Schizosaccharomyces pombe: one gene and its partner. The gene in region 1 interacts genetically with each later gene. Each region holds a gene or a part of one and is shown in the gene's direction. Other genes may lie near its edges. The genes, in order: sap1 and abp1.

What was found.
Region 2: of sap1 (region 1) and abp1, a mutation in one rescues a mutant of the other (synthetic rescue), as found in Schizosaccharomyces pombe (one study listed by BioGRID).

The regions. Positions count from the first base shown.
Region 1 is NC_003421.2:560,980-565,933, reverse strand, and holds sap1 (switch-activating protein Sap1), read left to right. Parts: upstream 1-2,167; 5' UTR 2,168-2,816; coding exon 2,817-3,581; 3' UTR 3,582-4,358; downstream 4,359-4,954. Other genes in the region: gud1 (guanine deaminase), read left to right, coding at 1-43; SPOM_SPCC1672.01 (histidinol-phosphatase), read right to left, coding at 4,657-4,954. UniProt on the Schizosaccharomyces pombe protein: Binds to sequences required for mating-type switching. Makes a simultaneous contact with both the alpha and beta domains of the switch-activating site SAS1.
Region 2 is NC_003424.3:5,261,435-5,267,226, reverse strand, and holds abp1 (cofilin/tropomyosin family protein abp1), read left to right. Parts: upstream 1-2,180; 5' UTR 2,181-2,196; coding exon 2,197-2,344; exon of another isoform or gene 2,345-2,409; coding exon 2,410-4,835; 3' UTR 4,836-5,292; downstream 5,293-5,792. Other genes in the region: protein adg1, read left to right, coding at 874-1,374; dpp1 (dipeptidyl peptidase), read left to right, coding at 5,474-5,792.

The DNA.
Region 1 (4,954 bases):
AAACGCAACGGTGACGGTAGAGGAGGATAGTGGGATGTCTTGAGCTTGGAGAAATCTGAGTGATGAGAAGGCAGATGGATTGTATGTGTGTGTGAAGAGCACGCATTGTGTTGGAGCACGTTTGTTAGAGTACGCTTTGCGTTAGAAGCATGTCTTGTGTTGGAAGCACGCTTTGTTGTATTTTTGGTTCATGATCGTTTAACGAAATAAGATAGAAATATTAAATGTGCAAGCAGCAGAAAGATTGTAATGTTAAAGTGGAAAAGAGCCAAGTAGAGATATTGTAGAGGATACGATGTGTTTGATAGGGCGGAATTTTGTATATACTGTTTTTTCAGGTAGAATACAGGGAAAATGCTGAAGCGACGTTTGCAGTGTTGAAGAGATGACAAATACAAGACCTTTACAAAATGCATTCTAGTTTGATTTTTTTTTTTTTTTATAAAGTGAATTTTTTCAAGATTTTATTTTCCTAATTTTATTTTCCTAATTTTATTTTTTATATTTTTAATTATCAATTTTATTTTTATTTTATTTTTTTTATTTTCTATTTATTTTTTTATTTTGCATTGCTCATTCTTTCACCCAGAGTAATCACTAAATTAGTCTTTGTTTACAACAATTTGAACAAACAAGTAAATAAATGAAAATAATATTGTTGTCAGACAAAAAACAAGTTAAAATTAAATAAATAGAAAACTTGTGGCTCATTTGATTCTTAGTTATTCTTTGTTTACCTGCGAATTGTTTTTTATTACAATACCCAACAAGTGTTTTCATGTAAATCATTTCACACTCTGTATATTTTACTTTACATATATATATGTGTGCGAGTTGAATCATTTAGTTTCTATCAAAACTCTTTCTACTGCTCTCCCTCTAGATTCTTAATCGGTTTACTGACTCTTTCCAAGTTCTTAATTTTTTACTGCACTTTTTTTATAGTCTTATTTATTTTTAGTATACTCTTTCTAAAGCCTTATTCGGGTTACTGCCTCTCTATGTCGTCTTTTACTGTCTCTCCCTCTACATCCCTATTCATTTACTGCACTCCTTCCTACTCTCTTTTTCGTTTGCTTCCCCCTCCAAGTTTTGTTTCGTTGCAACAAGGTAGAAACAATTCGAATGGTACCAACAATTCTAGCAATCCATACAGACTCAACACCATACATTTCAAGGGTCGACCTCAGATTACTCAATGAAACTCTTGAAAATCAGAATGATCAACCAATATTCATAAATGCTTACAGCAACTTTTGTCGATTGCTAGCAATGATGCATTTAGGTGAAACAAAGTGTGGTCTAACAATGTTTAAATAAAAGAAAAGAAAGGAAAGAAAAGAAAGAAAAAAATAAAAAAAATACTTGATCTTGATTGTATTTTTATTTTCTTTTCTTTTATTTATTCTATTATTTCTCTTTCTTTTTCTCTGCTATAAAAGTGGCGACCATACTGCAATCGAATGAATGTCCACACTGCAAAAAGTGTATGGAAGAAAGCCCTAGAGTAGAAAAGGAAAGAGAAAAGCGCACAATAAGGAATGTTAAGAATAAGAAAAAAAAAGTTTCAACATACTTTATTTTAATTATTATACTGTGGTTTATTTCCTTATTCCAATTACAACAATGTAATTTACATGCTTATTCTAATTACTACAAAGTGATTTTTATCCTTATTCTAATTACTACACTTGATTCACTTCCTTATTCCAATTACAACGCTATGATTCATCTCCTTATCTCCTCTAATACCCTCCCTCTCCCTCCTTGCTTTACTCTGCGGGCATCCCTCTTCCCCCCCTTCATCACTCCCCTAACCCACTGGAACGTTGGGTTTGTTCGTTTGTGCAATCTTTTCTTATCTTCACATTTCCACCCACTCTTCCATCTCACTAATTCCGCTCCTGGGAGCCGGCAAATCAGCACCTCCTTATCCAATAATACGCAATCCACATGACGCCACCATCGTTGCTAGTCTTTCCATTCTCATCGCTATCGCACGTTCCAGATGTGGCGCCCCTCCTTATTCCTCGCTTTCATTGGCTCTCTCCCCATCCCTCGTTGTGACCGTTTACCAGCGATACCGTATGTCATCATTACCGACCGTGCCTGCGTTTTGGTGGCACTCGATCTTATTTACCTCGCTGCGCATCCCAACGAACGCTTTACCAACACCTCCAACACACTCTCCATCGTATTGCAGTGTCGTGTAGGACTTGCCTTCGTTCAGATCCTTAAATAATTTCATTCAAAATCGGTTTGCATTGCTTTCCTCTGTTTTGCTTTGCCCTGCCTTTGTTGGAAAACCTCTCTTACCTCTTCTACTTGTGTTGACTCACCAGTCAGATCAGCTTGGCTCTACTTGTCTACGACTGGAAGCGTCTTTTCACCTCTACTACAAACTTCTATTCTACTATATACTCTTCTCCTGTTTTGCTTTGCTTTGTTTTCTTTTGCTTAGCTTAGCTTAACTTGACTCGACTCGACTCTGTTTTTTTACCTTGCTTTTATACTGTTCGTCTAGTACATAGTATACTTACTATCTTGTTAGTTCCTCCTATACGATTCGATTGCTTTTCCATCTCGTCTCGTTTTTCTCCTCCTCTCACTTAGCTTTTCTTCTATAAAAGGTCGATTTTCATCCTTCTCCTTTTATATCCAAAGCAAAAGCTTTCTGCGACAACTTTTCCTTTCCTTTCCTTTTCTCTTTTTTTTTTTTAACTATACACCACTCTTCCCCTAGCGGCAATTTGGATTTCGGACAATCGAATCCAAATTCCACCTATAAATTATTCAAGACGGATCCCCTATTTTCTATGGAAGCTCCCAAGATGGAACTGAAGAGCTATAAACGAAAGAATGCTTCGTTATCTCCCAGTTCCTCTCCCGCCAAGGCACAGCGTACTCACTTGTCCTTGGAGGAAAAAATCAAGCTCATGCGCTTAGTCGTGCGTCACAAGCACGAACTCGTCGACCGTAAAACTAGTGAGTTTTACGCCAAGATCGCCCGTATCGGTTATGAGGACGAGGGCCTCGCTATTCATACCGAGTCCGCCTGTCGCAATCAAATCATCTCCATCATGCGCGTCTACGAACAGCGTTTGGCCCATCGTCAACCCGGCATGAAGACCACTCCCGAAGAGGATGAGCTCGACCAACTTTGCGATGAATGGAAGGCCCGTCTCAGCGAGCTCCAACAGTATCGCGAAAAATTCTTGGTTGGCAAGCGCAAGTGTGATTGCAATGATGAAATTAATGAACGTCTCAAGAAGCTCACTGAAGAGCAACAAAACGTCGACATGCTTGTCGCCAAGGTCAACTTTCTCTCCAAACATCTTCACGATAATGAGGAAAAATTAATGCAGGTAAATGCTAAAATGGATGAAGTTCTTGCCGAAAATAAGCGCCTTCAACAACTTCTCGATCATAACGATTTGTTGTCCAAGCTCGAGCCTCCCTCTGCTTACGCTCCCCATGGCGTTAACATGGGCACTAATATGGGTGCCAACATGGGCGCTAATATGAATGCCATTCGTGGCGGTCTCCATTCTAGCATCTCTCCTAATCTTGGTGACCATTAATCCCAACTTTTCCGCCCATCCTCCTCCTACCTGTGAACACACAACCTCTTTTCTTCGAGAATTTCGTTCTCAATCCTTGTTTAACTTATGTTGAGCGGTTGAATATAAATTTTTTTTCTTCTTTACTTTTGACTGACGGTCTGCTTGATGTAAATATCTTTCATTTCTCCCTCTTCCTAGTTGTGTGCAAGGCGAATCATTCGGTAAAGCTGGTTACTTCCTTCCTCGTAGGTATCTTTGCCCCTTTCCAAATAAAAAGGCAACGAAGCCTTTCTGTATGTGCGCTAGTTGGGTTGCTTCTATTTTCTCCGCATTTTCTTGTCTCTTCCGTTATTAAACTAATATTGATTTTTTTTTCTTTCAATCCGGACATATTAAATTCTTTGTTTTTTTTTATTTTTTGTCCTCCTTCAAACAGTTTCGGTGATTGCTTTGTTTTCGCTTTCCACCGCTATTTGCCTTTGCCCTCTTTCCCTTTCGCACTAATTCGTTGTCCTTTTTGCTTTCGTGCTTTATCCCAATTTCGTACGACTATCGTTCTTCCCTTCAAACAAGCTTGAAACAGGTACTGTCATATGTTTTGCAAGCAATCCTCCTTGCACTTTCGGTTGAAGCTTGACGAAAGCCCAATGGTCCCACCCATGCTTTGCTTGTAACGTCACATCATGGTTATCTCTTATTTAGAATAGTTTTTTCCCTTAAATTGGTTTCAGTAGTGTTGGCCATTAGTCGGCCTACTCAATTGAGTTAATGTACAATTAATACAATTTTAAGCGACAGAAATCTATGTATCGTAGCAATCGATAGTTCATGTGCAAGTGGAACAAATATTGAGACATCGTAGTACTCGTGTAAAACAAACAGTCTTGTTAAACGGGAGCTCCTCATAAATGGGATCATCATCCACCACAACAAAAGCTTTGCCGGCCATTTCATACGAAGTGATTGAAATATGGTGAATAGCTAGTTACTATACTTCAGGTGACCAAACAGTGTACTTTTGAATTTCCCTTGTAAAAAAATTTCAAGTCCAAAAATGGCCCCAATACGGAAACAAATTTAAACTGTATTACTTCTATGTGTTAGTTATTCCGTTTGTGCCAACGAATTTAGACCAAACATTGTCGACCGTAACATTTTTAACCACCGTGCCATTACCATCGGGGCCCTTTTCTATCATACAGAGGCTTGTAATACCGCATTTGTCCAGATACGACTTGGCCAAATGATAATTCAAGCCAACTTGATGTGGTCCATGACTATCGTCAGATAAAGTGAGTTGCGCTCCTTGTTCAACCATCAGCTCAAGAAGTCGTTGCTGAGGATACGCAGTCTTCCATCCTTTGCGAAATGCAGAGGTGTTAATTTCAAAG
Region 2 (5,792 bases), on another chromosome or scaffold:
TGTAATAGTAGTAATGTTTTTAAATGGTTGTTGGCAAAAATATCAAGGTACGGGAATCTGGCGTTTTTTAGTATAGTTAGCTCGCCCGATTGACCCTCTTGTATTACTTATATCAGTCCATCTGTGCCTATTTACGATGAAACATAGCATGCAGAAATGCAAAGTTACTTTCTTGAACTAATTTTATTAATTCTTTATGTATCCTGAGAGCAAATTATAAAGCAGTAGTTTTTTTAGGTGATTTTTTTTTAACAACCAAATTATACATGATCAAAGTTCTTGAATCTTTTGTTTTAATACAATAAAGCAATCCTTTCATATTCTTACAACGTCTCTTTCTTTTAATCAACATTAGGCTCAATAATACGTACGAGTAACTCTTATATTATATGGTATAACCATATGAAGTGACATGTTTACTGAACAATCTTTGCTTAGCATATTGGGAAATCTCATATACGCTTTACTAGGATATTTTATATTACTATAACTCCTTATTGAGATGCATAACTTATTATATTACGATTTGTTTTTCCTATGTACACTCTTAAATCTAGGTGCTTGCATGCCAGCCACCAAAGCGATTTCTTGAGGCCCGCCATGTAAATCGGTTTGAAAAAAAAAAAAAAATGCTACACGGTCCAGTTTGTACAATGGTGATCAGTTCACCAGCCATCAGTTCGATTTTCAGCGCCTTAATTCATTTTTATATAAGTTGGCAGATCAGGCGTAAAATAACTTAAATCTTTTTTTATATTTCAAAAGGCCTTGCTTTTGTACTTCTTTCAAGTAATTGGGATAATTTCAATACTCATTGCTTTTTGTTTTTGTTTTCTTTGAGTGACTATTTACAAAAAATTACTTTATTATAAAATGTTTCTTCGCTCTATCTTCCAAACCTTGTGCGCTGTCTCTTTCCTCGCTGGAAGCGTTTTTGCTGATTCGGGTGTTTCGATTGTCTCTACCCCTGCTACTACTACAGTCTATTTAGTTCGCACTGTTGACTGTTCAAGCTCTGAAGTCACCTCCCAACCTGTTGTTACTGTTTACAATGTCCTCAAACCAGACACTGTAACTTTCACTGTTACTGAGACTGCCGGTTCCTACGCGAAGCGTTCCATTGAAATTGACAGCGATTCAGTTTCCCCAACTAGCGCTACTACGACTACTCCTGTTGCTTCAGCTACTGACGTCTCCGTATACTCTGCCAGCATTCATGTTCCTACCGGTAATCCGCCAGTGGACACTCATAACCCTCTTTCTTATGACACTGAGGTGACGGCTACTACCACCTTTTCAATTGCCTTGCCAAAGTTTAATAAAGGAGACCGTGTTAGCTCTGCCAACACCTACAGTGTCTCCTTTGTTGCCTAATACTCTGATGCCTACTTGTAAAACTTTTTGGACGCCTTCAATCCGTCGAGGATTGCACGAGCAATAACTTTCTAAGTATCTATCATTTCCATTGGTCTGTCATTTTCATGTTCATTCTACCTGCACTTCATTTCGTTTATTTTTTTTTTTGGACCCGAAATACTGATCATGTTTTTCCTATCAATTCTTAACAACAATATCTTATACATGTTCAAAACTTACTAGTCTTGCTGTTTGTAGGATCACCCTTTATTTTGATCTTTTGTCAACTGAATCCTTCAAATGCTGCTGGCCAGCATTCCATTGTTGTTTACAGAAAACTGGTGTGATCCAGATTTTTTCATGAACATTCGAAAAGCATCAAAATCATTATATTCATAGAAAATTGTTTTTATTATTTTAATTATCAAACAAATTACAGACTCAGAGAAAATCATCTATCGCTGATTCAACTAGAGATAGTTAAACATATTCCTATTATTAGTATACTCTACCTATAGCTTTTGAAATGTATGTAGTGACTAAAAGGTAGTTAATATTAACTATACGTATAAAGAAATATCAATACCTTAGAATTAGCTGAAATACACTAATGCTACGTCAAACTAATATCAACCATGAAGGACTAAGCGTTCATTGAGACGATCATATTTCCGAAATCCATAATATTATTAAAACACTAGAGTATTACAATTGCTTATTCATAAACAAGATTTCCACTTTTACTAATATGATAATAGCACATAGTACCATGAATGAGGAACACAATGACGGAAGCATATTGTACAGCGCAATTCCTTCCATTTACCATTCCCGCCCAAAATGTCATTTCAACTAGATACGAGCACGCATGGAGCTGAGATTAGAAACGTTTATGAAAAAGTACTCAGCGGTGCTGATGATTGCTCTTGGGCCATTTTTGGATATGAAAAAGGACAAGGAAATATCTTAAAAGTGGTGGCTTCTGGAAGTACGGTGTTTTTACAATAGTTTTATTTATTTTGATGACGATTTTTCTAACTTTATAATTTTAAGACGACAATGATGAATTTCTTGATGAATTTGATGAAAACGCTGTGCTGTTTGGGTTTCTACGTGTGAAGGATGTCAACACTGGATTAAATAAATTTGTTTTGGTATGTTGGTGTGGTGAAGCAGCAGCCCGTAAAGGTTTGTTCTCTATACATATGGCTACGGTTTCCAATCTTTTGAAAGGTTATCATGTTCAAATAACGGGACGTGAGTCGTCTGATCTAAATATGGATGATATTATTCGTCGAGTAGCAGATGCTAGTGGTAGTAAATACTCCGTTCATACTTCTAATTCAACTCCTCAATCAAAGCATAACGCATTTTACGATGCTAGCCAGACTTTTGGAAGTACTGCCAAGGTTGCCCCTGCACCAGCTCCTTCTACCAAAACCCCTTTGGCCAATATTTCAAAGCCAGTGGTGCAAGCGCAGAAAGACTCAAAGGACAATAGTTGGGACGATTCGTCTAAGCAAAGCAATACCCAGACTGCAAATACTACTTCAAACTTACGTGTCCCTGTAAATGCATCGTGGTCGGATGCCGGTCGTAAAGAAAAATCTCAAGAAAATAAGCCTAAACCCACTCCTTTTGGGTCTGGTGGGCCATCAAAGCCTACTCCTTTTGAATCTCATGGGCCAGCTAAGCAAATCTCTGTTCAGCCTAGCGAACACCCGAAGCCTTCTATTTCAACTACAACTACTGGCTCAAGCTATCGCTCTGCAGAATCCAGTCACGCTCCAACTACTCCGGATCATTTTAAACTTACTCCTTTGACTAAACTCGAACCTCAACCACCTTCTGGTTCTCCCTCAAAAAAACCTGTCTCTGAATTAGAAGAGCTGCATACCGCTGGTAATGTGAATTTATCTGCTAGACGTGCTTTGTTCGAAAAGAAAGAATCCTCAACTAAGAATGTTGAAAACCCAGTATCACATCATCTTAAAAGTCCTGTTCGCACAAGTTTTCCTCCTGCTTCAACTACTGCCAGCAAACAAGATTCCCCATCAACGGTACCTGTCGACAAACAAGAAACCGCCAAACCTATAAATAAACAGGTTTCATCCAATGAAACTTCAGCACAGGAAGAGCCACGTGAAAGCGTTGCAGCGCTTCGAGCTCGTTTCGCAAAAGCAAATGTTAGTGAAAATAACGATCCTCCTACATTTCCCAAGACGGCTGCTAAAATATCGAGCTTTAATTCGAAGGCAGGAACTTCTTTTGCCAAACCTCGACCTTTTACAAATAATCCCAATCCCATAAGCGCTCCTGAAAAACCGACATCTGGCGAAAGTCTTTCGTTAAATCCACCTCCAGCAATGCCAAAGGTTTTTCCAGAAAGGGATATCTCATCTGCTTCACAAAAAGCGGCGCAACCATCAGTCATTACTCCTTCGGTTCCTCAACCGCCTGCTGCTCCAGTTGTACCAGAAGCTCCTTCGGTCCACCAACCGCCTGCTGCTCCAGTTGCACCTGAAGTTCCTTCGGCCCCTCAGAGGCCTGCTGCTCCAGTTGTACCAGAAGCTCCTTCAGTTCCTCAGAGGCCTGCTGTTCCCGTTGTACCAGAAGCCCTTTCGGTCCCCCAACCACCTGTTGCTCCTGTTGCACCTGAAGTTCCTTCAGTTCCTCAACCACCTGTTGCTCCTGTTGTACCTGAAGCTCCTTCAGTTCCTCAACCACCTGTTGCTCCTGTTGCACCTGAAGTTCCTTCAGTTCCTCAGAGGCCTGCTGTTCCCGTTGTACCAGAAGCCCCTTCGGTCCCCCAACCACCTGCTGCTCCTGTTGTACCTGAAGTTCCTTCGGTCCCTCAGAGGCCTGCTGTTCCCGTTGTACCTGAAGCACCTTCGGTCCCTCAACCACCTGCTGCCCCCGTTGTACCTGAGGTTCCTTCAGTTCCTCAACCCCCCGCTGTTCCTGTTGTACCAGAAGCTGGACAACTTAATGAGCCCGTGGTTCCTCCTCTCCCACCGCATGACGAAACTCAAGAACCTCAAGTCGGTGGAGATGTCAAAGCTACAGAGCATACACAACCTACAAAGACTCCGGCCATAGTTATATATGATTATTCTCCTGAGGAAGAAAACGAAATCGAGTTAGTAGAAAATGAGCAGATTCAGATTTTGGAATTTGTCGATGATGGATGGTGGTTAGGAGAAAATTCTAAAGGTCAACAAGGTTTATTTCCTTCTAACTACGTTGAAATAACTGGACCTAATGAGACTGCCAATAATCCTCCTGCCGAGCCACAAGCAGGGGGTCCTGGTAAGTCTGTGAAGGCAATTTATGATTATCAGGCTCAAGAAGATAACGAGCTCAGCTTTTTTGAAGACGAAATTATCGCCAATGTGGACTGTGTTGATCCCAATTGGTGGGAAGGTGAGTGTCATGGTCACCGAGGACTGTTTCCCTCAAATTATGTAGAGGAAATTTAGACTTGAACGTTAAACGTACCTACCGCCTTTGCATATTGTCAATGGCTGTCTTTTACCTAGAAATGTGGGTTTAATATGACTTTATAAATGCTTGGAATGCTCTTTAGGTCAATCATAAAACTTTTGCTACTAGCCAGAAGTGTTCATGAATCAATCATCTGGAAGCCTTGCAAGCCAAAATAAATAAAGAAAATAAAAGTCTGATTTTTTAAGTTTCTTCTTTTACCTATCACTGTTGAATTTATTATATTTGATATATATTTATTTGTATCGAATTCGGTGTTTATATATGTTATGATTCTTTGTTCAAATTATGCTACTTTATTACCCACCAACTTATAAGCCATGAGTATATGCAAATTGGTTTGTGTATTGGCAAAGAAGTAATACTTTTAAATGTGCTCATGATTCGAGAACTAATCAAATATTCAATAAAATAATCAATCTTATTAGCCTACTTCATTACAGCATAGTGATATATGTATTTGCTACTCCATATTTCCTCGTTGCATTTCGCTATTTTATATTTGTATTTGTGGTCATCGAATGTATCAAATCACATTCAATACTGTTTGACAATATATTAAGAAGACCAAGTAAAAATTGGCGCTTCTCAGTCACTTATTCCAGTGGCATGAATGAATGCATATGAAGGTGACACCTTGAACAACCATGGAAAGTCATCAACCAGACAACACTGGCGGAAACGTAGCGCAGTATCATCGTCTTTAGAATTTTCATCATATGAAGAGTCGAACAGCCCCATAGAGAACACTGAAGTTTTAAAGGTTTCAGAAATTGAAGCTAAAAAGCGTCGGCGCAAAAAGCATCGATACATTTATCTAGCAGTCTGTCTCTTTTTCTTAGCTTCAGTTTTATCGTGTGCTATAATATTCCGTTTTTATCTTCATACTAATCGGGAAAACTTCTCACTCTTCAAGAATGATTCCTATAAGC